4 linked regions of the Lytechinus pictus genome follow. The protein of the gene in region 1 purifies or fractionates together with the protein of each later gene. This does not show direct contact. Links are inferred from orthologs where the notes say so. Each region holds a gene or a part of one and is shown on either strand. Other genes may lie near its edges. The genes, in order: DNA-directed RNA polymerase III subunit RPC2-like, DNA-directed RNA polymerase III subunit RPC8-like, protein POLR1D-like and GPN-loop GTPase 1-like.

Region 1 (6,997 bases):
TACATCATATCTAGCAAAAATTTTTGAACATGCATTTTACATATTTACTTAACTGGCTTTCCATACTTGCGAATGATCAGATCAATCGCAACTCTTTGTAAGACGGGCACGGGGGCTACTAAAAGATCTCATGATGAAAGTAAACAATCAAGTATATATTCTACGTACTAAGAATATTGCTAGCTGATAAATCAAAAGTCAATCATATGATAAACTGCTCACTGGTTGTGATGATAATGACTATGATAATTGTATGTCTTTATGACATAGTACTCACTTCATGTAGAAAGTTTGGTCAGCATCACTGGTAATCTTCTCATTTGCTTTCATTATCTTCTTGATCTGTAAATGTAATAAACAAATAATAAGTCTTAGATTTATTTTTGGTTCCCCCCCCCCCATTCTCATTCGGTTAAGGTTTAGTTAGGTGTTTTTTTTTTTTGTTTTTTTTTCTCATTGAATTTGTGATTATATGATGTTTTTAAGATTTCTTTAAGTACAATTGTTGTTATGGGTTGGTCTCACACAAGGTTTCATCCTTTTTGGTCATTACCTTCCTCACTTTCTTTAAAGTTGATGTTCATTGTACTTACATTGTCTATTTTTTATGTATTTTTATCTTGATCTCTTGAGGAGAAATAAATGAAACTTGAAAAAAAAACTTGAAACTTGAAAATAGTATAATACTAAATGAATAATGAATATGAATGAATAAATGAATAATTGAATAAATAAACAAATAAATGAAAAATAAATAAATAGATAAACAAACATATAAATAAATAAAGTAAATGTGAATGAGAATAAATGAATAAATAAACACAAATATAAATGAATAAATAAAACAAGAATAGAGGCCTACATGGGGATATGATAATCTCACCTTGCTCATAAAAAAATGCAAACTTTAAAGGAGAATGAAACCTTTGGAACAAGATAGCTTGTGTGAAAACAGAAAAATCAAAGAAACGGATCAACGAAAGTTTGAGAAAAATCAGACAAATAATGAGAAAGTTATGAGCTTTTGAATATTGCGATCACTAATGCTATGGAGATCCTCACATTGGCAATGCGACAAAGATGTGTGATGTCACTCTTGAACATCTCTCCCCATTACTTTAGTATATATTTCACTTAAATTGCCTCTTTTATTACATCTATCAGTAGAACATTTATTCTTTCTGTAGGTGGGCATGTAAAACAGATTTTTAAAGAATACATCATGGATAAAGAGTTTGTATAACCATACGAAAAAGCAAAAAGACACATTTTCAGGGTATTTCATAGTCCATCAAAGGGAAAGTTGTTCATGTGTGACATCACACTTCCTTGTAGCATTAGAGATTGTAATATTCAAATGCTCATAACTTTCTTATTATTTGTCCGATTTTTCTCAAACTTTCTTTGTTCGTATTCTTTGATTTTTCTGTTTCGACACAAGCCTACTTGTTAAAAGTTTCATAAACTTCTTAATCCTTGTCCAAATTGGATGATATTTTCAGGACTTTTATATCTGATTTTACCTTATCTGTTGAAATCATTTCTTTTATTCAGTTTAGAGTAGCCCTTCAGAGCTGCCAACCTGAACAAGAACATTACAGTATTTTGTATAGCTGAAAATCAGTATTTTGGGTTATTTGAAAGAAATATATACCAGTCTACAGGAAGAACCATAAAACTGAAACTTTAGAAATCAGTGTTTTGCATGAAATCACCAGTATTCTTCTCATTTTTCAGTACGAAATACTGAAGACCAGTACTACTTGGCAGCTCTGTTTCCTTTAAAGGTCAGGTCCACCCCCAAAAATGTTGATATGAATTAATTGAGAAAAATTAACTCCCATAACGCTGAAAATTTCATCAAAAGCGGATGTAAAATAGAAAATTATGACATTTGAAACTTTTGTTTATTTTTTCACAGAACAGTGATATGCACAATTCAGTGACCTGCAAATGAAACAGTTGATGATGTCCCTCACTCACAATTTTTGCTTTTATTGTTTGAATTATATATTTCATTTTTTACAGATTTGACAATTAGGACCAACTTGACTGAACCATATAGTAATAATCAATGCTAATTCCACCTGCTCAGTGAGGAATTAACTGTTGTTTCACCTAACAATGAGGAGAAAATTATAATATTTAATTTTTCATGTAATAAAATACAAAAAAAATAGTAATGGATGACGTCATCAGTCCCTCATTTGCATACTGACCAGGATGTGCATATAATTATTTCGTGAAATTAAGCAAAAGTTTAAAATGTCATAACTTTCTCATTTTACATCCGATTTTGATGAAATTTTTAGTATTGTGCTTGTTGAATTTTTTCCTTTTTATTCAAATCAACTTTTTTTGGTTGCTTTAAACTTGTCCTTTAAATTGGCTCAAGAGCCAGATAAAGCCTCCCACCCCCCCCAGAAAAAAATTGCCTATACCTCGATATTCGTTAAGCCGAAAACGTAAAAGGGTTCATTAATCCGAACATTTGTGGCGTTATTCCGAAGGTTCGATAATCCGAAAACGAAATAAGGTTCGATGTTCCGAAGATTCATTAATCCGAAAACGAAATATGGTTCGTTGTTCCGAAGGTTCGTTAATCTAAAAACGAAATAAGGTTCGTTGTTCCGAAGGTTTGTTTGTCCGAAAACGAAATAAGGTTCGTTAATCATTTCGTTTTCGGACTAACGAACCTTCGGAATTACGAACCTCATTTCGTTTTCGGAATAACGAACCTTCGGAATTACAAACCTCACTTCGTTTTCGGACTAACAAACCTTCGGAATTACGAACCTTATTTCGTTTTCGGCCTAACGAACCTTCAGAATTACGAACCTTCGGAAATACGAACCTTTGGAGTAACGAACCTTTGGAATAACAAAGCTTCAGAATTACGAATGTATGCGTTCAAATACTTACCTCCACATTAATGAAGTAGTTGAACGAGTCAATATGCTGGCGGACCAACCCTCTCACCTTCAGGAAGGCCGGAAGAAGCTTCCATTTATCCTTTGAAAAAAAAAATTAAAGATACAATGAAACATCATCAGAGTGTCTGGTAAATGGTCACTAACGTTTTATGCTACAGAGGCCAGGGGAGTGTTTCATTAATATTTTCATCCGACATGTTGTCAGAACTTTTCTTGATTTTGATTGGCTGAGAAGCACTGTCACTGTGATAACTGTCGGATAAAACGTCCGACATGGTCTTTCATAAAACGCTCACCTGGTGGGTTTTTCGTAAAAAATTGTGAATGACTTTATGCATGACTTGTGACCCTTTCTTGTGCTTACTGATATAACCCAAGTAGGGGCAGCGGAATGGTTTGAAACTGGGGGTGGGGGTGCTATGTCAAAAGTTGTGGTAAAACCAGATGGTAACTTTCACTATTTTGTACAAAGTTTATTTTTAAGTGGGGGAGGGGGAGGGATAAAGCCCAACTAGCCTCCACCCCCACCCCCAGTTGCGCGGGCCACTGCCTATGTACATAGCTGACTTGAGACTGGAACCTCAAAAAAACAAAAAGTTCTCTCCTTCTACCCCAGTCTCGATGGCCGATCGAGACTGGGGTAGAAGGAGAGAACTTTTCTGTTTTTTGAGGTTCCAGTCTGTGCCTCGATGTCAGGATTCTACCACTCGATAGACTAGACCTTCATCCATTATATTATAATCGTGGTAAGTGCATAATTTCTGTTTTCACAATTTATCTTGCTAGATATTTTGACCATAATCTACCCTTGTCCCGTGAGTATGGGTAAATACACGGTGAGCTCCTGGGTTAAAATGAATACTGACTAAAATTAAAACTGAGCTGTGTCAAAAAACCAATCATTAGGGTGTCTGGAGAAAAATATTATTTTTCTTATTTCAAGAAAATATCACATTTTCTTTGTGAATTTGAAGAGAAATGACCTTCAGCCTGACAGAAATGTAACATTTTTGAAAAAAATCTGATTATTGGCTACAAAAAAGAAGAATGAAATTAGGTCAATTTTCAGCATTTCTCTGCCATAGACTCGGTGGTCACCCTCCTGGGCTTCAACCCTGCAATGACCAAGCAAATGCAATCTATAATTAGAGCATCGGTGGTAGCATTTGTCTCATCCACCAGCGCTAACATCTAGCCAAACTAGCCAACAAAACAATTACCTAGCAGTTTTTCTACCTTTGAGTTCTCAACACTAAGTGTCTACCGAGGAGACTACTAGGGCGTGAAACAGGCCCAAAACGAACAACAACAACAACAACAAATGCCATAGACTGTGTAGTTAAGAAATGGACACACACAAATCCAAATTTTTAGCTTCCGAGAGCTGTTATAAATTTATTATTAATGCCAAAAACTTGTCCATAAAGAGTCCAATAGGATTTTTTATGCTCTTTCTGATGGTATGATTTTTATAAAGATTTGGAAACCAGATCACATTGAAAAATTGCGACAAAGTGAAAAAATTGTGCAAAACAGAAATTTCATTTTCCCATAGAAAACGCATGGGGAAATGGCAATCTCAACACACACAAAAATAAATAAGGGTTTGCAATTTATTTCAAAATCCGTAATTCAAATGATCATATAAACTTGTCCTTCCTGTCAAAAGAAGCCCCTGAATTTTCTCTTTCCATACATGCCAAACACAAGTTAATCATCAATTCAGATCACATGCCCACGTTTTTCTAGTAGCCTGAACTTCCCGAAAAAAATGTGCCACATTTTCCCCTAAATCAGCCTGTCTTATGCTGACACTTTTCAGTGTGGCATCAGACACCCTACAAACACTCTAGGCGACACCCCAATACTTACCCGTGCTAATAAACTGGGACTCCACTCACGTGCATTTGGGCCGCCCTAGCTTAGAACTAAGCAATATTATCGAGAAATTGTTACATTGTAGTCATGAAATATGTTCTATTAAATAAATTGATAATGTTTAATCGGTACTCACTGGTTCTTTTGTTGCATTTTCAGACCATTTCTCACAATTCTTCGTAAATATCTGCGGCAAATTTTGTCGCCATAGACAGCTTAACATCCATCTTTATTGATAAATGGAGCGCCCTTTACGATAGTTGTTAATGCCGCGGAGAAATCGTTAGGCATTTTGGCCTGTGTTCAAGGCGTAGCTGTTCTATTTTTTTTTTATAGGTATGAGATCGAAATCACAGCGAGTATTTACACTCTTCCATAATGATTCCGAAAGGGAGGCGCAACACCCCCCACCCACAGGGGCGCAAATTCCAGGGGAACATGTCCCCCTCACCTAGAATAGTAGGGGGACACATTATGAAATGTCATCCCCCTACTATTTTGGGTCTTATCATTCAAAATCGAAATAAAATATGTATTTTGGAAGAGACAATCTTACTTTTGGGGTGCCCTTTTTTTTTGCTTGTTTGCTTATCAAATTTCTTTTGGTCAAGATGACCTTCTTTTTGGGGTGATAAACCTTCTTTTTTGTTTTTGTTTGTTTGTTTTTTTCTTGTCAAATTTTCCAGCCCCTGGTCCCGGCTACCTTTAGGGAGAGATTTCCGCCCTTGCCTAACAGTACACTTGATATTGTTTGCGAATCTGCGTGGGCGTCGGGGGCTGGGGGATGAGGAAAAGCGGTGAGACGAGAAAAAAAAATAGAAGGAAAAAGAGGACAGAAAAAAAGTGAACGAAAGAAAAATTAATGGAAAATAAAAGGGAGGAGAAAATAGTGAGAAAAGTGATGGGTAGGTCGAGATTTTATGTGTCCGTGCAAAAAGAAATGAGCAGAGGTTGAGATGTTGTCTGTTTGGGCAAATGTCTGTCTGTTTGTTGGACTGGCGCCTGTTGCAAAAATTATTAAGCTGATGGAATCAGAAAGTTCCAACTGCTTCATGTCATACCGACAGTGACAGGATTAGGCGGTTGTATATATAAATCACGCTCTAAAACTGTGTTCTTTATTAAAAAGTTGTCCTTCATATTCATTTTCGCAAAAGAATATCAAGTTTTCAATTAATTGTCTATAGTTATCCTGTTTATGATAAAAATACTTAGAAATTGGGTTAGGTTAGGGTTATCAAATTATCGGGGCAGAAAATATATTTTTTCAGTTCGCGCGTCGAGCTGGCATTAGTGATCAGTGAGATTATGTTTTTAATGACATTCATTCTATTCACAGCAATATATTATTAAACATAGCCGCATGAATTATAGATAGGTCTATAGTTATCAGGTGAATAATTTACCGCTACACACTGATCATGTGGATACTGTTTTGTAAAGGGGAATTTCACCTTGATAAAAAGATTGTGAAAATATAGGCCAAATAAAAATAATTTCAAAACATCGGTGAAGGTGTTATTAAAAAAAAATGGAGTTAGTAGAATTTCGAATGCTTGATTTGTGACGTCATAAACGAGCAGTTGCTCAATATTCTATGTAATACAAAATGCAAAAATTTCCCATTTTTAATGGTCCGTAATGACCCACTTTTTTCTTTTTGGAGAGAGTATGAAGTTATCTATTGATATACTGAATGTACAATAAAAGTCATTATCACGTATTTCTTGACATTTCATTTACTTTTTACCATAATTATATCCGATATAGCTGCTCGCAAAGGCCTACGCCGTCACAAATAATTATTTAAAAAATCTCACCTTTAATTTTTTTTTGGTGGGGGATGGATTTTTCCTGAACGCATACCAATTTTTCAAATTATTTTTTCTGCTATTTTCATAATTAACTTTAAATAAATTCACCTATGCACTACTTAATTTTTTCAAAGACAAAATAACAAAATTACATCTAGTCTTCATCATCACCATCATCACCAACTTCATTCTCATCATCATCACCACTACCACCATCATTATCATCATCATCATCATCATCATCATCATCATCACCGCCACCATCACCAACCCATCATCATCACCAAGATAATTTTCATCATCATCATCTTTCTTTTTTTTTCTTTTTTTTTCCCCTTCCCTTCTTCTTTTTTTCCTTCCTATTTTCCTCCC
Region 2 (7,460 bases), on another chromosome or scaffold:
AGGCGAGACTTAGGGATCCAAATGTCGTCCGTCGTCCGTCTGTCACAAACCTGTAATGACACATAACTCCACTACTGTAAGTCACTTTTCAACCAAACTTGGATGGTAGATGGACTTGGGGGACCTGCATCTTATGCTGCAGTCAGAGGTCACATGGTTAGGTCAAAGGTCATTTTGAGGTCAACGTTCAAGTTTACATGCAAGACTCTCTTATGACACCTAACTCCGCATCCGTGAGTTATTTTTCAACAAAACTTGGATGGTAGGTGTACTTAGGCGAGCTGCATGTTATGCTGCAGTTGGAGGTCACATGGTATGGTCAAAGGTCATTTTCAGGTCAACATTAAAGTTTACGTGCAAGGCTCTTATGACAAGTGTTATTCCATCCCAGTCATTTCACAATGAAGTTTGATATAATTCTCTTGCGTGCCCTCGCAAATTACGATATTTCTGGTTATTTTCATAAGTGGGCGAGACACAAAATTGCTTTTGCCTTGTTTAGGCTACAAAAAGATCTTTTTCTGTAAGCAATATCAAAATTCAAAACCAGCAACCACTAGTACACACTCATACATGTAAACACTAAAACTCCTTACATACAGTAGAATACAGAGCTTTATTCACACTTAAAACAAAAATCATATTGTAATGAGATACAATGGCATGTAAAAAGTTAAACCCCAAGAGAAATATTTGTTTATGTTTTAATATGATTATTCAATTTCCAGGAACATAATTTGAGTTTGTGTGCGTATGTGTGGACTTAGATCCTATGTGTGTTTGGGTATGTACATGTATGCAGTATGGATTTTATCTGTTTGTGTGTTTCTAGCTACTATGAGTTTTGTGATTCTAATTATTTCAGAACACTACTTTCATTTGTTGAGGTTAAAAACAACTAAAAAAAATACTAAAATTATTGAAAACAAGTGGAACGCCTCTGGCAGTCTCGCCTGCATTACGCAATTTAATATAGCAGCAGTGCTAACTTTGAAAACTACTATAAAATAATCATTCACAAAAACATCATTCATATAATGACATAATACCACGTTCATTGACCATAAATGACATTTGAACGGAGACTTAAGACTGTCAACTACATGTACACCCATGTCCACATTTCAATCACTCTATCCATAAACTTTCAAAGTTATGATGGCACTTCAACAATTACCCCAACATGGCCTAAGTTTATTGACCTTAACTGACCTTTGACTTGGTTTTGTGACCTGAAACTCACAGGGGATGTTCAGTGATGCTTGATTACTCTTATATCCCAAGTTTTATGAACTAGATCCATAAACTTCAGAGTTAGGATGGTAATTCAACAAATACCCCCAACACGGCAAAAGTTCATTGACCTTTAATGACCTTTGACCAAGGTCATGTGACCTGAAACTCGTACAGGATGTTCAGTGATACTTGATTACTCTTATGTCCAAGTTTTATGAACTAGATCCATAAACTTCCAGAGTTTGGATGGTAATTTAACATATACCCCAAACACGGCCAAAGTTCATTGACCTTAAATGACCATTGACCATGGTCATGTGACCTGAAACTCGCACAGGATATTCAGTGGTACTTGATTAACCTAATGTCCAAGTTTCATGAACTAAATCCATAAATTTTCAAAGTTATGATAGTAATTCAACAAATACCCCCAACTTGACCAAAGTTCATTGACCCTAAATGACCTTTGACTTTGGTCACGTGACCTGAAACTCGAGCAGGATGTTCACTTATACTTGATTAATCTTATGCCTAAGTTTCATGAACTAGGTCCATATACTTTCTAAGTTATGATGTGATTTCAAAAACTTAACCTTCGGTTCAGATTTTGAAAATTTTTTTCCCAACATGGTCTAAGTTCATTGACCCTAAATGACCTTTGACCTTGGTCATGTGACCTGAAACTCAGGCAGGATGTTCAGTAATACTTGATTAACCTTATGTCCAAGTTTCATGAACTAGGTTCATATACTTTCTAAGTTATGATGTCATTTCAAAAACTTAACCTTAGGTTAAGATTTGATGTTGACGCCGCCGCCGCCGTCGGAAAAGCGGCGCCTATAGTCTCGCTCTGCTATGCAGGCGAGACAAAAAAGAATTATAAATCATATTTCCTGTTTTTTCCATATTTACCGGACGCCCATCTTATTTACCGGACGGTATTTACCAGTATTTACCACCGGTAATTACCGCTACCGGTATTTACCGCCCAACCCTGGAAATATACCAGATTATGATGACTTAGACAGCTGCCATCCGTCTGTTTCGAGGAGTTTTTTAACATTTTTTTTTTTTAATTCTTCTCGTACACAGACGGCTCGCTAGCGTGCAGCCACCATTAGGGGACTTGCAATGCGAAATCCCCCCCGTCGGGGCTCTTCAATTTTTGTCTTTAATGAATAAAAATTTTGAAAATTAACGCGACCAAAATGCAAATTAATATTCCCTCTTGGCATTAATTGCCCAAAAACGGAGAAAAATCAAGGTAAAAGGAACAAAAACAGTGACTTACCTCGGCTGTCGCGCAAATTCACTTCCCCGTTTTATCCGATCTTAAGTACATAAACATATGGCCATTGAGTCCCCTGTACAGATCGCGCTAGAACTTCGGTCTCTGTATTTGGTGAGTGGAGCCAACGTAGTTCAGCGGAACAACCAAAATACAGAGACTGAAGCTTTTGGTCTAATGATGACTATGCTTGACTATGACTGAGATGATAATAATAAAAAAACAAATACACAAATCACTACGTATGGGACACAGCATTAAACTTCTGCATGTTACGTTTCGAATCACCAAAATTTACCTCGATTTAACAAAGAAATAAATGAATATTTTCTAATCTTGCATACTCCATGGTACTTTCATTCTTTTAATTGATGAAATAAACTTAAATGCAAAAAGAACTTACATACAACGGCGCCGAGGAGAAGATTTCTTTGGACCCTAAATCGAGAAAAGTGAATGCAAATCGTGTAACTTGTAAGCTCGACTATGGCACGCCCATAGGGAAACAATTATATATATATTTCACTTGAAAAAAATATGTTTCTCTTCTACTAAACCATTTCACTCAAAGAAATTTATATTTCACTTTTCAAAAAAATATATTTCACTTTTCAAAAAAATATATATTTCACTTTTCAAAAAAATATATTTCACTTTTCAAAAAAAATATATTTCACTTTTCAAAAAAATATATTTCACTTTTCAAAAAAATATATTTCACTTTTCAAAAAAATATATTTCACTTTTCAAAAAATAATATATTTCACTTTTCCAAAAAAAATATGTTTCACTTTTGAAAAGAATCATTTCACTTGTTACATTTTAATTTTGAGAGAAAACAAATCCTTTCACTTTTGTTGGATAACACATGCGGCTGCCGTATTAGACCGTACGTAAAATTCATCTATCTATCTACCTACATGATATATCTATCTATCTCTCTGCCTAATATATATCTATCTGTTTAAATCTATCTATCTATCCATCTATCTGTCTGTCTATTTATCTATCTATCTTTCGAACTATTTATTTTTCTATCTATCTGTCTAACAATTATCTGTTTAAATATGTCTGTCTATCTATCTATCTGTCTGTCTCTATATCTATCTATCTAATATCTATTTATTTATTTTAATATGTCTATATCTGTTTATTTATCATTCAATCTATCTATCTATCTAATGATTTATCCGGCTGTTTAAATGTCTGTATATCTGTCTTAATTTCTATCTATCTGCCTATTTATCTTTATCTATCTATCTATCTATCTATCTATCTATCTATCTATCTATCTATCTATTTTAAGTCTATCTGTTCAAAATATGTATGTCTATCTGTATGTCTACCTTTTATCTTTCAATCTAATATCTATTGATCTGTGCAAATAATCATGTCTGTTTATTTGTCTGTTTATCTATTTAATATCTATCTATTAAATCTGTTAAATATGTTATTCTATCTGTCTATCTATCAATAAATATATCAATCTATTTTCTCTCTATCTATATATCTATCCATCTGTTTATCTATCTGCGTATGTATCTATGTATCTATCTGTCTCTGAATCTATGTGTATATCAAATATAATATCATAATCACCGTTATCATCATCATCATATTTGCCATCAATCATCAGCATCATCCTCCTCATCGTATTTTTTATCATCAATCAATATCTATCTAATGTCTATCTGTCTATCTATCTAATACCTATTTATCTGTTTATATCTATCTATATATTAATCCCTTTTATTAATATATATCTATCTTCTATTGATCAATCCACCTATCATTTATCTCTCCATCCATCGATCTATCTATCTATTTATCTATCTTTCTTATACGTATCTGTTTAAATATGTATGTCTATCTGTCTGTCTATTTATCTTTCATACTTATATCCACTCATTTGTATGAATAATTATGTCTGTTTATCTACGACCGACCACCTAATTCGTCCGCACGACGAATTAAAATCTAGTTTCTTTTTCACTTGTTACATTTTAAATCTGAGAGAAAACAAATCCTTTCACTTTTGTTGGATAACACATACGACGGCGGCTGCCGTATTAGACTGTACGTAAAATTCATTCCTCACGTGAAAATCCATTCCTCTCGCTACGTAAAACATTTCACTCTTGTTGCAAAATTCATTTCACTCAATTGCAAAAAAATACGTTCCTCTTTTTTTTCGGCCTGTAGGCGGCGCACATCATTGTTGGCAGGACGAGGTAACAGAGATGGTTGCAAAATTTTCGCTGTGCTGAGGGGAGAAATCATGAATCCGGTTGCAACACACAAAATGACAAGGATATGGGGATACCAGCGAACCCAATTACGACACTTTCCCACGCGTGCCCGAGAATACACCACGAGGTGGGCCCATGAACACAAAACATAAAGTTTGATTTTATTACTGATTATGCACAATAGCCAGTGCAATATCAGCTGTTGCATTCTGCCCTACGATCAATCACTAACGTTTTGTAGGCATGATATGAAGCATGGATAGCTCCACGCATGGCACTACACTATCTCTGGAGCTAAATGGACAAGGTGTTGAAATTTCCCTTTTCTCCATTCCGTCTGTCTTTTACTTCATTGACATACGATAATCGCGATGATTGATGAAATGAAGCTTACAAAAGGCTACATTTCACTGGTCAACTCGCTTGTACTTCCGTTGCAAAACAAAATTCTCACCATTTTGTCACGGGCAGTGCTTCTTCAAACCAGACATAGGCGGTAAAGCATACATGACTGAATGGGTGAAGACGTCATCGCTTTCGGTGGACATTCTCGGCTAAGATAGATAGATAGATAGATAGATTGACTGATTGATAAATAAACAGATATACAGACATATTAAAAAATATTAGATAGATATATAGATAAAGAGACAGACAGACAGATAGATAGATTCGTAGATAGATAGACAGACATATTTAATCAGATAATTATTAGACAGATAGATAGAAAAATAAATATTACCTTGAAATTACCTTGATGGCCACATCTCACTGTCTTCATGACGAGGGTGTACAGATGAGTGTGGCAGGGTTAAGGAGGCTCTTAGAGCCCATTTAAAAACCCAATTTTGATAATTGTATCTTAAATTGCAGGAGTGTTGGTGCGTCAACTGTGGACTGTGGGAGTTTATTCCATTTATTGACAACCCTTTGGCTAAAGAAGTGTTTCCGTATATCCAGTCTAGATCGTTGCTTGGAAAATTTAAGAGAGTGTCCTCTTGTTCTGGCACACTCTACTCTCTGGAAATAATTGTCTGGGTTTGATTTGTCCATTTGTGTCATGATCCGGTATGTTTGAATGAGGTCTCCCCTTTCTCTCCTCCTTTCTAACGTAGTGAGGTTTAATCTGGCAAGCCTGTCTTCATAGGATAGATCATGGATATCAGGGATCATTTTTGTAGCTCTTGCTTGGACCTTCTCCAGTATTTGTTTGTCCTTTGCTAGGTATGGATTCCAAGTCTGCATTGCATAGTCCAAGTGTGGACGTACCAGCGATTTGTACAGTTTCAGGATCACTTGTCTATTTTTAAATGTAAAGTTGCGTTTGATCATCCCTAGTACCATATTGCCTCTCTTGGCCGCTGCTGCACATTGGGAAGCAACTTTTAGTGATTTATTGACAAGAATCCCGAGATCTTTTTCTTCGACCGTTTCTTTTAGTGCAGAGCCATTCAGTGAATACACTTGGTGAGGGTTGTTGGATCCAAAATGCATAACTGCACACTTGTCTATGTTGAATCTCATCAGCCATTTTGCTGCCCATCTATCGAGGTGATTGATCGACTGTTGCATACCTTGTATGTCTTCGTCAGTTTGTACGGCATGTATAAGCTTGGTATCATCTGCAAATTTGCTGATTTTTGAGTCATTGTTGATTCCAATATCCATATCATTTACATACATCAAAAAACAGAGTGGGCCCAGCACAGAGCCTTGAACAACGGAGCTGGTAACTTCCCTCCAGTCAGATTCTGCTCGCTGTGTACTAACTCTTTGTTTACGATCACTGAGCCAACTTTTGATCCATTGTAGTAACTTACCACCGATCCCATGTGCTTCAATTTTCCTGATTAGTCTTTTGTGTGGTACGGTGTCAAACGCTTTTGCTAGATCGAGGTATACGACATCAACTGGCGTACCCTCGTCGACTCTCTTTGTGATGATTTCGAGATACTCCAGCAAATTCGTTGTTGTTGACCTTCCTTTGGTGAAGCCATGTTGAGTGTCATAGATAAGGTTGTGTTTCTCAACGTGCTCAGTAATCTTGTCTCTAACTATGCTTTCCATAACTTTCCCAGCTGTTGAAGTTAGGCTGATTGGTCTATAGTTGTTAGGCTTTGACCTTGATCCTTTTTTAAAGATTGGGATAACATGGGCAAGTTTCCAATCTGGAGGCACTATTCCTTCTTCTAAGGATTTGTTGAATATGTAGGCTAGGGGTGCACATAGTTGGCTTGCCATAGTCGTGAGAACGACTGGAGGTATCTCATCTGGTCCAGCAGCCTTTGTTGGATCAAGCGCTTCCAATTTCTTTCTGACACATTCATCGGTTATCGAGAAGTCTTTGAGAAACATGTCATTTGGTCCTTGAAATATTGTTTGAGGAATGGGTGCTTCATTTTTCTCATCTGCAAACACCGTCACAAAATAGTTGTTGAGGGCGTTAGCTGTATCAACTCCTGGGTTAATTGTTTCGCCAGCTTCATTCTTAAGAGGCCCGACGGAATCCTTTACCTTCTGTTTCGTTCTCACATATGCATAGAAGCTTTTAGTATCTTCCTTTATATTCTCAGCTAGTCTTTTCTCAAAGCTTTTTTTGGCTACTTCTACTTCATGCTTTGCCTCTTTCTGGCACTGCTTATAGTGCTCAAATCTTTGAGTTGTCTTCTGGGATTTATATCGCTTCC
Region 3 (7,226 bases), on another chromosome or scaffold:
TGAGCTGAAATTATTTTCCTAGCATCGCCAGATCGGCCGATGCGAAACTGTATTAACACTCTAAACCTGTCATTGACATTAGAACGTCCAAAATATACACTACGTCGGCCTAGAATCTTATTATACTAGCACAATTAGCTATGCATGAGCATCAATTCTCTCCGTATTTACCTGTACGTACATACCTCCTCACGACCGAGTCAAAGGTCAAGTCACTGTGTTAACATGTGGAAACTGCAAACGAGGGAATCTTCTGGTAAGAAAATTTTAAATTTTCACCTTTTCTTTTTGTTCTTTTTTAAGGCACTTACGTGCATTTAGAGTATAAAGGCTTACGAATTGGAAAAATTACATGTTTTCCCAACAATTATTGTGGCAAAGATAGATTTCCTAGGGAAATCCATCTTTGTTTTGATGTCTCCTCGCTGAGGACCGTATGGGCAGGGTGTCAAGGCTCCATGATGTAAGTATAGTCTAGATGTCAAATTATATTTTAAAAAAAAACCTCATCAAGGAGTCCTCAAGGCTACTAGGTCAAGAAGACTAGAGTAGAGCCAAATTCAAGATTTTGAGTGCTCATGACGAAAAACTTCCATTTGAGAACACTATACCCCAGTTTCCCTTCTCATCAATTCTCTTCTCCAAGTACGACAAACTCTAACTGCCCCAAGCAAGCAATTTAAGTATCAAAACACCTGTTTCTTGACGTCGGTCCGAAGATAACACAACAGCCCGGCATATACAGTCACAGCAGGGGGCCACACACGATGGGATGCATGCGCAGCGCTGAGCTCGGTTTCTGCAAAACATGCCGTCATTTTTATTCGCTTAGTCCGGCTTACTTTCCTTATTAAGAGGCTGATTTTCTTCGTTCGAAATTGAAAATGGACTAACATTGGATTACTGAATACAATATGCCTTTGAAAACGTGATTAAATATCGAATACAATAATTTCATTCCGAAGGTCCTACTACAGGCAGAGAAGCCTTACGTAATAGCACAGCTGTTGTTTATCTTTTGGTCCTTTGCTCAATGCTCATATACTGGCATGTGGAGGTGAAATTGAGACAGCGGGGATTACCCCTGGATTACCTGGCCAAGCGCGGTTGATAAGGGCTTGGAAATGATATTTGGGAGATCCACATGAAAAATGGGGTATAACACCGCAGTTTGCAATCTGAACTGCGGTCTTTCTCCAAACGGGGGTTTGACGTAATGTCTGGAGACTAACGTATAGACTAGTACTAGTAGAAAAGTCACTCATTCAATGAACAAGGTTATATGATATTAGTTACCTTGTTCTTAGACCAAAAGCTTCAGTCTCTGTATTTTGGTTGTTCCGCTGAACTACGTTGGCTCCACTCACCATACATAGACTGAAGGGGATGGGGCCCCGTACCTACAGCCAACGTATAGTGAACTAGCGTTTTATAGATCGCGATTTAAAACTGTTTTTTAAGCAAAATTGAAAGTTTCATGGTTTCCATTATCAGGGAAATATAAATAACTTAAGTAATTGCATACCTTGGGCCGGAGTTATTGAAAAAAATCCTCTGGATGATTGAGAAATCTGTCATCTAAGACATTTTCACCTGACCTGACGGTTTTTCTTGCAAGTTGCCATCTTGAATGACGTCATTATCGTTATTAACTTAATGTCTCGAATCGATATATCGCGATTATAACTAGTACTAGTACTAGTATCGTTTATCTTCGGTTTCGTTCGCATATGGAGCAGATCGTATAATATCGAAAGCAATATCGATATCACATTCGTGATTGTTGACGTTCGTTTGTAAATATTTTATAGTTTGGCTGCCATTTTGACCATTTTTATCGTGTTCAACCCAATTAAACATCGGTAAAGTATATTTTTCATGCCTTTTTCATCTATATCGTTTAAAGTATGTAAATATTGAAATATCAAGGTTCAAAAGTTTGTTGTTTATACATCCTTAGATTGTAAATTCGATGTGTAAAATTACATCAAACTTTGGACTGTGAATTGACAAAAGGGAGGGAATGAGAACACATGCGAGCCCACACGTACACCCTACCGTCGGTAAATGGGGATTACAGTAAAATGTCAGAAATTGTTGAATAAATCCCCAGAAACGACGGTTATTCCTGTCTACCTTGTTCTCTGTTACTACTCCATGTGTGGCAAAATAAGGTTGGCAATGTTTGGCTTATTTTCTCTTTTTCTTTGGGACAAATGCTTGATATTTTTACACTGTCAGTTTCCATTACACTTTACAGCTATTCATCATAAATATTATAACTTGGTCTTAAGTAAATTTGATTCTTTAAATTATTTTTTCTTAAAAATAGAGATTGAAAAATGACAATTATCTTGCCATATTAGTAATAGTATTACTTTCCACAAGAGGGCATACACAAAATTATGCCCAAAATTCAAGTTTTCAAGCGCTCTGGTGAATACCGTACACAAATTACGGTACCGGTACTCCCAAATTACTAATAAAAAATAAATTGCAACTGTATGGAAATTAGAATTTTTGGTCACAAAAGTGATATTTTAATGTCTGAACTTTTAAGTGTGTGCTGTGTACTGCATTGGGCATTGGCTTACCATAGATCTAGTACAACAAGTAACGTTAGATCTAACGTTAGATTCCACAGGCAGGGTGATTGCAGTGAACAAGTGGCAGGCTCTCAGACTCAGTCACGCGCCGCGCCGGCTCCGCCGGCGTGAGAGTCTGCCTGGGTTAGCACCACAGTAAATTAATGGTGTGGGACAAAGGTAAAACTAAAGACTCAAGTCAAACAAACGCTCTTTATTTTTCGCCGATTAAATTACAGACCCCCTCTTGTTCTCTTTTACAGTAACTCCCACATTTTTAAAGTACATTAAAGTACGAATGACATGTTCTTTTACCAAATGGAAATACACTGTCAGTCATCGCATAATCACGACAAGGACTTCTCAACTCTGCGCTGTTCGTTCGTGAAAGCAGACAAATAAGTGAACGCAGCTGACTATATAATTTCAAGCACGTCGCGTCATAAGTACAAGTACGGTACGGTATACAGTCCGCTTGAAACTTGTCAGCTACGTTCACATGGCCTACATGTAGCCTGTTCCAACATAAACTAATGCAGACCTTTTGGAGGGGGCGAAGATGCCGCCCGACCCCACTCCCCGATTGGAGGGGCAAAAAAAAAGTAAAAGAAGGGGGTAGGGAAGAAGGGGAGAAAAGGATGGGAAAAAAAGATAAGAGGAGCCAAAGTGAATGATTCTTTTTTTAATGAGATTCTGCTTTACTGACATGACTGAGGAAAAAAAACACCTCGGTATAACATGGCCGGGGGACTAAAGTATCCTGTTTCCAATCCTGCCCGCGGTTCGAGTTTTAATTATTTTTTTTCACCGAGATACCCACCATCATGAATTTAAAAAATGCTGAAAAAATGGAGCTTGCGCTACGCGCTCGCAGTCACATGCATACAATCTTGTTATAAAGTGCTTAACACGTTCCCTCTTGCGGTTCAGTATATAAATTTTAGCTCGCGCTTCATGGTTGTATTTGTTTGAGATACTAGTGCTCAGCTAGAGATTCATTTTATTTATTTTAACGCCAAGTTTACCTATTGGAAAATTACAAATTTTCAATTTTGGCTTCGCGCTCGCATCATTTATTTAGGAAGATACATTCTTTTCATGATTACAAAGAATATTTGTCCCGTTTTTAGGTTTTCGGCTTGCTCTTCGATCGCGCTCGGCAATTATGATTAATGTTTTTTTTTCATATATTGTTATAAAAAAAGTGCTTAACCTATTTTTTTAGGTCGAATTATCAAAATAATCCTGATAATGTTTACAAAAATTGTTCAAAATTGTCAAGTGTTTCAGGTCGAGATAAAAAAATCAGTTCGCGCTTCGCGTCACATTATATGGTTGGTGAGATTTGTTCCTCCGCATGAGTCACTGCAAATAGTTCAAAGTATGGCCCTTTTCGGGTTTGTGTATTAAGATTTCAGCTCGATCGCGGTTAGCCCTCACATTAATTGTTTATAGAGACATACCCATCTCGATCTTAAAAAAATTGCTTAGAATGTCAAAATTCTTCCAGTCGGAATATAAACAATTTAAAGTTGATGCTTCGCGCTCGCATTATTTGGGAGGTGAAATATGTATCCTTCACATGAGTCACTGCAAACAGTCCGAAAAGTGGCACTTTTCAGGTCAGTGTAAAAAAAAATTCAGCTCGCGCTTCGCGCTCGCATAAATTTTGTTTCTAGTTAGATACGTATCTTGATCATGAAAACAAGAAATGCTTAGAATGTTCAGATCTTAGATCTGACAATAATGTCTACATGAAATAGAGACAAAGTGGAATTAGACCAGCCATCTTTATTTTTTGCACCAACAGCTTCAACGTTTTCGCACTAGGACTTACCTTCCCTGTCTACGCTTCATGTTTTGCTTTGCTCTTCTAACCATTGTGGGACTGTGACGAAGAACATAATATGTCTCATGCTAAGCAGGTGCCTGCAAGTCACCAAGGATGTGTTATACACAAAAATTTCAGAAGCATTTACTCGGAAAATGGTTAGAATAGGGGATAGAATATCATTGAAAATTGCAGTGGGAAACCAACAAATAGCTCGGATAAAGTTCGCTCTCAAAAAACAATATCTCGGTCACCCATGACATAAACAATGTGTCATTTAAAGTCAGTGGCGTAACAGGCGGGGGGGCAGGGGGGGCAAGCTGCCCCCCTCCCAGGACCAAAATCCAATTGAAACCAGTTGGATTTCCAATTGGTTTCAATTGGTTTCAACTGGTTTCAATTGGTTTTAACTGGAATATAACAATTTCCAGTTGAAACCAATTGAAACCAGTTGGGCAACTGGAAATCCTAACTGGAACCAGTTGGGTAACTGGAAATGACTTCCAAATGGAAATGATTTCTAACTGGAACCAATTGGGTAACTGGAAATCCTAACTGGAACCAGTTGGGTAGCTGGAAATGACTTCTAACTGGAAATGATTTCTAACTGGAACCAGTTGGGTAACTGGAAATCCTAACTGGAACCAGTTGGGTAACTGGAAATGACTTCCAACTGGAACCAGTTGGGTAACTGGAACCAGTTGGGTAACTGGAAATCCTAACTGGAACCAGTTGGGTAACTGGAAATGACTTCTAACTGGAAATGATTTCTAACTGGAACCAGTTGGGTAACTGAAAATCCTAACTGGAACCAGTTGGGTAACTGGAAATGGCTTCCAACTGGAAAGGATTTCTAACTGGAACCAGTTGGGTAACTGGAAATCCTAACTGGAACCAGTTGGGTAACTGGAAATGACTTCTAACTGGAAATGATTTCTAACTGGAACCAGTTGGGTAACTGGAAATGACTTCCAACTGGAAATGATTTCTAACTGGAACCAGTTGGGTAACTGGAAATCCTAACTGGAACCAGTTGGGTAACTGGAAATGACTTCCAACTGGAAAGGATTTCTAACTGGAACCAGTTGGGTAACTGGAAATCCTAACTGGAACCAGTTGGGTAACTGGAAATGACTTCTAACTGGAAATGATTTCTAACTGGAACCAGTTGGGTAACTGGAAATCCTAACTGGAACCAATTGGGTAACTGGAAATGACTTCCAACTGGAAATGATTTCTAATTGGAACCAGTTGGGTAACTGGAAATCCTAACTCGAACCAATTGGGTAACTGAAGATGACTTCTAACTGGAAAGGTGATTAACTGGAAATTAATTCTAATTGGAACCTGTTGGGCAACTGGAAATCCTAACTGGATCCAGTTGGGTAACTGGAAATGACTTCCAATTGGTTTCCAATTGGAAATTTTCCAGTTACCCAACTGGTTCCAATTGAAACCAGTTAATTTGCATATTATCTGCCAGTGTGCACAGATTAATGTTTTATGTGATTCATCATCATTTAAAATGTATCTATTTAATTCTTTTCTAATTCAAGTACCATACTTGTTTCAGATAAGTGTTTAGAATGCTTAGCAGTGAAAACCATGTTCATAAATGTTATAGATTATAATTAAAACATATTATAAGATAATTAGTACACCACTAACTGTTACCAAATTACATCAAATACAAATACATATATTTGAAGATCTTTCATATAAATATATATACATGAAGAAAGTCTATTTTATCAATGCCCTTTACATTGGTATTAATAAACATATAGCACTGCTTCTTTGTTGGCATGAGCAATAGTTAGTGCAAATTTTAATTAATTTGTCATTAATTAAGTCATTCCAACTGGAATTTCCAATTGGATCCAGTTGGAAACCAATTAGTTTCAACTGGATCCAGTTGAAACCAGTTGCCTCCAATTGGTTTCAACTGGAACCAATTGAAACCAGTTGCCTCCAATTGGATTCAACTGGTTTTAATAGGGAAATTGGAACAACTGGAACCAATTGAAACCAGTTGCCAACTGGTACGTTGCTTGAATTGGTTTCAACTGGAACCAATTGAAACCAATTGCCAACTGGTTCCAGTTGCCCAATTGGTTTTAACTGGAACCAGTTGGCAACTGGTTTCAATTGGTTCCAGTTGTTCCAATTTCCCTATTGAAACCAGTTGACCAACTGGTTTCAATTGGTTTTGCTCTAATTGGTTTCAACTGGATTTTGGTCCTGGGCTGGCGGAGCTCACCGGGAAAATAAGAAAAAAGGGAAAAAGAAAAAAAGGGGGAGGGAAGGGAAAGGGAAAGGAAAGAAAAAAGGGGAAAGGGAAAGGAAAAAGGAAAAGAAAACTAAGAAAAAACATAAAAAAGGGAAAACGGAAAGATAACGGGGAAAAGGAAGGAAAAAAGAACAATTGAGAAAGAACAATTCGCCCCGATATACAAATACATTAGCATGATTAGTAAGACAGGGAAATAAATTAAAGATGACAAAAAGGCAAACAAAAGCGGGAAATAAAGGCAGAATGGAATTAGCCAAAATCTAAATTGGAAAATAAAGAATAGGGACAAGATAACGTACACTACCGGGCTGCCGAGGATTGAGATAACGAGCGGGAAGAAAAATGGATGGTATATAGCATAATGTCCTATGAAAGTCTATCATAAACTTGCTAAATCTCCAAAGGCTCTGTCCAAGAGTCAAGACCCCGTGCAGTGGGGGCTTTTCATCTGTAACCTTTAATGGGTTCTATAACGGGCCCCTATATGGACCCTTCCTGCATTAAGCTTTACGTTAAA
Region 4 (6,970 bases), on another chromosome or scaffold:
TCGTGTAATACGTAGGGCTGGGACTAAAACCCGGGTACCCGGATCCCGCCCGGAAGCTTCGGGTACCCGGGTAGAAAAATCAATACCCGATACCCGAAAATTGCTCACCAGTATAACGTACATGTATTTGATTTGTATTGCGTAGTGTAAGACATGATTGTAACTCATCACAAAAGTACACAAGTCTCATTTTGAATCTCACCAATAACCCTCGAAATATCCATAAATATACAAGTTTTTCAAGTGATGATGATGTGACAGATCGTTCAATCGTCGCCATGTTTCTATTGCAGCGCAGTGACGTCATCCAGTCACTGCGACGCAAGCAAATTTATGAATGAAAATATAGTAAGCATGCGCATTGCAAGCCTCCCGTGCCCCACGCAATATTCCATCGAAAGAAGTCTGCAATACTCTGTCACCTCGTACCAAAATCGACCTAGAATTCCACTTTCCTATATTTTATATGAATTATGAAAGGTATTCTCAGAGGATCTGTTTTCTCACTGATACCACACGGGTAAGCAAAATCTCAGTTTGTGTGCTCACCAAATGCACATGATGCTGCCAATACACGACAATAGTCGAGTGCAATATTCATCGACTGTCTCATCATCACTTTGAACTGCTTGTCGAAATGCATGTCTCTCGAATACCACATTCTTCCAGGGCTCAAAATATTTGGTCAGAGCCTTCAGCGTTGTCTCATACTTAGGCTCATCCTCATCTACCAGTGTCTCATACAACTCTTGAACATCTGGTCCAGCACAATGTAGTAGAAGAGCCCTCTTCTGACCATCTGCTGAGACTCCTGATGCTGCAAGGTAGTACTCAAATGTCCGCCTCCATTTTGGCCAGGCAATCCCTGCTCTAGCCGAACGAACATCAAAGGGTGCTGGCTGTGAAAGGTCCACGCGTCGAGCCACATCCTCTGCCTTTTCAGGTTTTTTTTATCCTCGTCGCCAATTTTGTGTATGCGTATTCTGACTCTAATACACACTTGAACTCATACTCGGTCTCGATTTCTACTCATGTTCTAGGCATGTCTGCTTGTCTGCTTCACCCACGATACGGACGCTTGCATCGCGTAACGTTGGAGAAGAACAATAGAAAACAAGATGGCGGCGTAAACATCGGGCAAGTCTCTTCCGTCTATTCATGATATTTTCCTCATTTTTTTTGATGAATTCTTGTCTAGAAATAAAATCCATAGCGTAGAGATGTCGGAAATGAAGTTGTTAGTTGTATCCCAAGTACATGATTTAGGGCTAGATCTTTTAGAAAGAAAGTAGAAATCTCGGGGGCGAAAGTTTCAGGTTTTTTGGTGGTACACACAAAAGTATAGGAAGGAAGACCTGGCTTCGTATGAGAGTAACCTTACGTTAGTAAATGATTTTTACTCTCTAGAAGCCTCCTGGCTACGACCCCCCCACTCACACGTATTGCGAGGTTAGTATTAGTATTACTAACCTCGCACCACGTCCACGAACCGCGTTTGGCAGTGGATTTCTAACTAGTGGGTAGCGCGTGCTGGGATCTCACTTCTTGGGTCCACAACACACGACTTCTATGGCTTGAATTTTCTGTGCGCGGCGGCATGTAATGAACCCTTGGGTAGCCAGGCGGCTTCTAGAGAGTAAAAATCATTTACTAACGTAAGGTCACTCTCATGAAGCCAGGCCTTCTATCCCATAGACCCACACAATGGAAGCCAAAACCTGAAACTTTCACCCCCGAGATTTCTACTTTCTTTCTAAAAGATCTAGCCCTAAATCATGTACATGGGATAAAACTTCATTTCCGACATTTCTACGCTCTCGTTGTTATTTTTGAACAAGAATTTATCAAAACAATGAGAGAAATATTGTGTAAAGACGGAAGAGACTTGCCCGATGTTTACGCCGCCATCTTGTTTTCTATAGTATTGTTCTTCCCCAACGTTACCCGATGCACGCGTCTGTAACGTTGGCGAAGAACAATAGGAAACAAGATGGCGGCGTAAACATCGGGCAAGTCTCTTCCGTCTTTACACAATATTTCTCTCATTTTTTTGATGAATTCTTGTTCAAAAATAACAACGAGAGCGTAGAAATGTCGGAAATGAAGTTTTATCCCTACATGATTTAGGGCTAGATCTTTTAGAAAGAAAGTAGAAATTTCGGGGGCGAAAGTTTCAGGTTTTTTGGTGGTACACGCAAAAGTATATGACGGAAGCCCTGGCTTCGTATGAGAGTGACCTTACGTTAGTAAATGATTTTTACTCTCTAGAAGCCGCCTGGCTACCCTTGGCCTGGGTGCGACCCCCCATCCTACAGTACAATTCAATTGTATACTCAACACAATAATCAATATGTGGGGCATGGGCTAAGCATGGACGCATTTTTTTTTTATTTACCTGAACGAAAGTCGTTTTACCAGAGCCTGCCATCCCTAATACGATTAAACATGGTGGTTTGGTGTCAGTGTTGTGCAATCCCCCAGCAGAAGCACCTCCATTCTCACCGTCTTCGCTGCTAACTCTGTCACTCTCACGAGGTTCAGAAATACCCATGGGCGTCGCCATTTTGGCTTATCAAGATAATGCGCATACGCGGCTGCTGCTGATCATGATTGGGGTTGGTTAAGTTGGTTACGTTGGTTGGTTCGTTGGTTGGTGGTTCGGTTGGTTGTTGGTTGGTATATTGGTTGGTTGGTTAATTGGTTGGTTGGTTGGTTAGAACAGTTTGTATTCTTAGATGGTGTTAAGTCTTATATATGCAGTCAATTACATGTGTCAGAGTGCAAGGTTCACCTTATTTCTCATATGATTTCCTTCATGACGCATACATGTAGGCCTATACATGTATTTCTTCTGAAAAGAACCCCTGCAATTTATTGTTGCACTAGCTGACTGTCAATACAGAATTGATTTCTGTTAACGAATGGATCATTGCTAACATAATGAAGCTTGAACGTATACGTGCCACCCTGATGTTCAGATAATAATCTTATTATATGTTCTGCATCTCTATAATTAGGAAAAATTGACCAGATGCCGAGATCTCAGATCTTGTCATCATCTACATCCTGTGGGAGAGATGACAATATCTCATCATATATCTACATCCTGTGGGAGAGATGATATGAGTTGACATTTGACAAGATCTTGGATCTCGTCGTGTCTACATGTGGGAGAGATGGTCAGATGACTGAGATCTTGGATTCGTCATGTCTACATTAATGAGTTGTGGAGATGATGATCAGATGACAAGGTCTTGGATCCATGATCTGCACTGCATGGATCATGATGTAGACATGCATGACGAGATCCAGGATATTGTCATCTGATCATCGATCTCAAACGGCATGTATAGATATGACGAGATCCAAGATATCTTGTCATCTGATCATCTCCCATATTGGATAAAGACATGAGATCGAGATCTATTAATTGTCATCTCATCATCTTTTTGAAGGATTGTAGACATGACGGGATGATTATCTGAACAAAATCAGGCTTAATTTCCTTGAATCATTTGTTAAAACAAACTACATGTTATTCAGCAACACTCTAGCAACATTGCCAGCTAATATTACAACTAAGGCATGCGGTTCAGATTACTGAAGTCTTGTGCAAAATTCCTTGGGGTTAAACATTGGAAGCAGAGTTGGAATTAAGTTCACACTTCTTATTTAAGTAAACTTCTTTCCAGAAATTCAAGAGTCATTAATTCATTATTCAGAGTACATTTCCAAAACGGGCCGGCTTTGCCCCCCCCCCCCCTATAGTCTGCTATGCAGACTCTGAATGGCTCGTTAGGTGGGATCTCAGCGCGAAGCTAGCCTGAAAGGGCGAGCGAAGCGAGCCATTTCAGATCTGCAGCTACAGTAGACCTAGTCTATGCAACTCCTTGAATCAGCTGTGGTTCACACACTGCAGATGTGGGTCTACATTTGTAGACTAGCCCCCCCCCCCCCCCCTCGATCCGCCAGTGATCTCATACTGATATTTTGTTTGATGAAAACAAGTTCCTAAATTTACATGACATATTTGATTGGTTGCATTATGTATCAATTAAATAAAAGAGGAATTCCACTTGCCCTTCGATTTTAGATTAATTTAGATTTATTCATTTTCCGTTCAAAAAGCACAACAAAATAAAAGTAACAATACATAGTCAGATTTAAAGTACAATATTAATCGGAATAATGCATAAGAATTAGAAGGTATAAACAATGAGAACTATAATGCGAACTAAAGTAACTTTGACTATTAACTATATAAAAAAACAGAACGGAGGGGCTTGCCAAAAAAGCAAAGCTTGTATGTGAGGCAAGCCCCTGTCTGCCTGTAACTTAGTTTCAATACGTAAAGACAACATTACAAAACTATAGTATAAATGAGAGACGGAAGACAGTTTAAAAGGAGACTATACAAAATATCGAAGGTACCAACGAAAGAGTGACACAAATTAGAATAAATGATAATAGTAATAATAAAAAATAAATGCTCCGTTATGTGAATTGAATCTATTAGAACGTCTGGCATCCGCCAACATTTTGTTCAAAACAAAATGTACAAAATAATACAAAACAAATATACAATTCAAATACTATAAGCAGATAAACAAAGACAAAATAGTATTTTATCAAAAAAGAAAAACAACTTAAGTCTACTATTAAATAAATAGTAAATGCATTACATGTAAACACGATGTGTAAGAATATTACGAATATATTACTACAGAATGTTTGCAGGTTGATATCTTTAGTACTCTTGCTGACATTTTATCTTCAGAAATCACCCCTAATAGCAATTATGTTTTGGATAAAAGAACAAAACTATTCAATAAAAAAACTTCAGTTTCAAATTTCATATGTAGATACATTTTTCGTGGCACTCCATAAATAGCTTAAAGTACAATAAAGCGTGATTTAAAGTTTATAGCAATCCATCTACAGAAAGCTGACCCAGGTTGTGTTAAACGCATCTAATATCTTACGCTCTTATGTTGCAAAACATCATACGCACAATTGTCTGAAAGTTAATAATGAGCAAGATAAATGTAAATTCTTCTTGGGGTCGGCCCTATAAAGGGTGTCATCAATGATTATAAAAATAAGTTCATAATTTAACTATAAAATCCTCGTTTCTTTTGTTGAGTCTCAATAAGAATATATGAATTTATATTTTTATGAGCATTCACTATTTTATCATGCGTACTTTGAACAGAGAGATTTTAAACGAATGCTTCCAATGGTTTATTGGACCCTACTTAGAGTTTAAAGCTATTCTATTTGAAAAGTCACAAGAAGTTAACCCTTTTTTCAAATAATAAAAATCCATATAGGCATAAATAAGGTTAAAGTTTCGAAGGATGCTTGTTTATCTTAATCCCATTTTCATGTTTGTAGTTTCAAAGTTGCATTTGTTCACCAGATAATTGCCTGATGCAGTCTCACATTGTGCACGTTTTCATTATTGAATTTATTACATTTTCCTTTGGTGTGATCTACGTTGCCTATAAACTCAACATATTGTTGAACATTATTTTTATTCATTACAATTACATTTTGTCTGAACAACATCTTGGTCAGATTTACCAAGTTTCAAAATGTTTCATACTGTAGAATCCATATTCGTGTAAATTTTTATTTTTAGGGATGCTGAGTTTTCTCAAATGTAATTATACCTTTTGATTCATCATTTTGTATCATTTTGTAATGTTAAGTTCAATGGGCAAAGTAATTTGTCAGGGATAAATGAATCAGACCATTAAGATCACATCGATATTCCTTTGAACAATTCTGAAAACACTTGTCTCTTTCTTGTTACTTCCGAATGTGTCAATGCATTCTTACACATGCAGGCCCGTCAGATCAAATTTTCGCATACGTTCGTAATTCCGAAGCTTCGTTATTCCGAAGGTTCGGATATTCCGAAGGTTTGTTATTCCGAAGGTTCGTATTTCTGAAGGTTCGTAATTCCGAAGGTTCGTTAGTCCGAAAACGAAATGAGGTTCGTAATACCGAAGGTTCGTTAGTCCGAAAACGAAGTGATTAAAGAACATTATTTCGTTTTCGAACTAACGAACCTCCGGAACAACGAACCCTATTTAGTTTTCGGATTAACGAACCTTCGGAACAACGAACCATATATTTCGTTTTCGGATTAACGAACCTTCGGAACATCGAACCTTATTTCGTTTTCGGATTATCGAACCTACGGAATAATGCCACAAATGTTCGGAGTAACGAACCCTTTTACGTTTTTGGATTAACGAACATCGAGGTATAGGCAATTTACGTGTTTCAGAATTACGAACCTTCGGAATAAAGAACCTTCGGAATTACGAAGTGTAACCCGAATTTTAAAGTGGTATGGTTATGGTAAGCTATTTGACCCATAAAGACGATAAACTATGTTTATCGTCGATGGGTCAAATGGCTTGCCATATATGGTATGATTCTGGGATATTCTCGGTAAATCAAAATGTTGCGAATCTAAACGACCCTCTGTCTTAGAACAGGTACATGCTGGAGGGTAATAGACTTGTCCATTGCCTTTAATTATCACCTTCATATAGATGATGCGAGCGGTTCCCTTATATTTTGTAGAGGAGACCCTGGCCTATAATCTAGGCGGAGGTAGCATTTATTGTCTTTGTCACATCAGACGTATCGCTTGCGTTCAGCATAACAGCAAAGACATTAACTATTACATTAACCGTTCAAGACATTAGCCTCCGCCTAGATTATAGGCTATAGAGGCCCGGGCAGGTTCCGTTTTGTACCAAAATATATCAGGGCATATTTTGACACATCGTCACTTTTGTCTAATTCCCTCATTTTTTTTCTCCTTGTTTTTTTTTCAATTGTATGTTTCACCCTTATCTTTCTGTATTTTATGTTTAACCTCAGTTTCTTCCTCTCTGCTCTTAAAGTCTTTAATGATTAAATGCCATTTTTCCTCATTTTACTACTTTTCCTT

The links.
Region 2: the proteins of DNA-directed RNA polymerase III subunit RPC2-like (region 1) and DNA-directed RNA polymerase III subunit RPC8-like purify together in Homo sapiens (affinity purification with mass spectrometry; 8 studies listed by BioGRID and IntAct, with this or other methods). This does not show direct contact. The link is inferred for Lytechinus pictus from reciprocal best matches to the Homo sapiens genes POLR3B and POLR3H.
Region 3: the proteins of DNA-directed RNA polymerase III subunit RPC2-like (region 1) and protein POLR1D-like purify together in Homo sapiens (affinity purification with mass spectrometry; 6 studies listed by BioGRID and IntAct, with this or other methods). This does not show direct contact. The link is inferred for Lytechinus pictus from reciprocal best matches to the Homo sapiens genes POLR3B and POLR1D.
Region 4: the proteins of DNA-directed RNA polymerase III subunit RPC2-like (region 1) and GPN-loop GTPase 1-like purify together in Homo sapiens (affinity purification with mass spectrometry; 4 studies listed by BioGRID and IntAct, with this or other methods). This does not show direct contact. The link is inferred for Lytechinus pictus from reciprocal best matches to the Homo sapiens genes POLR3B and GPN1.

What each region holds. Positions count from the first base shown.
Region 1 is NC_087250.1:6,009,952-6,016,948, forward strand, and holds the start of DNA-directed RNA polymerase III subunit RPC2-like, read right to left. Parts: upstream 3,009-6,997; 5' UTR 2,923-3,008; intron 343-2,922; 5' UTR 331-342; coding exon 278-330; intron 1-277. UniProt on the Homo sapiens protein: Catalytic core component of RNA polymerase III (Pol III), a DNA-dependent RNA polymerase which synthesizes small non-coding RNAs using the four ribonucleoside triphosphates as substrates.
Region 2 is NC_087254.1:6,939,311-6,946,770, forward strand, and holds the start of DNA-directed RNA polymerase III subunit RPC8-like, read right to left. Parts: upstream 3,018-7,460; 5' UTR 2,928-3,017; intron 1-2,927.
Region 3 is NC_087249.1:40,692,396-40,699,621, reverse strand, and holds the start of protein POLR1D-like, read right to left. Parts: upstream 3,023-7,226; 5' UTR 2,901-3,022; intron 1-2,900.
Region 4 is NC_087252.1:17,444,265-17,451,234, forward strand, and holds the start of GPN-loop GTPase 1-like, read right to left. Parts: upstream 3,002-6,970; 5' UTR 2,564-3,001; coding exon 2,396-2,563; intron 1-2,395. UniProt on the Homo sapiens protein: Small GTPase required for proper nuclear import of RNA polymerase II (RNAPII). May act at an RNAP assembly step prior to nuclear import.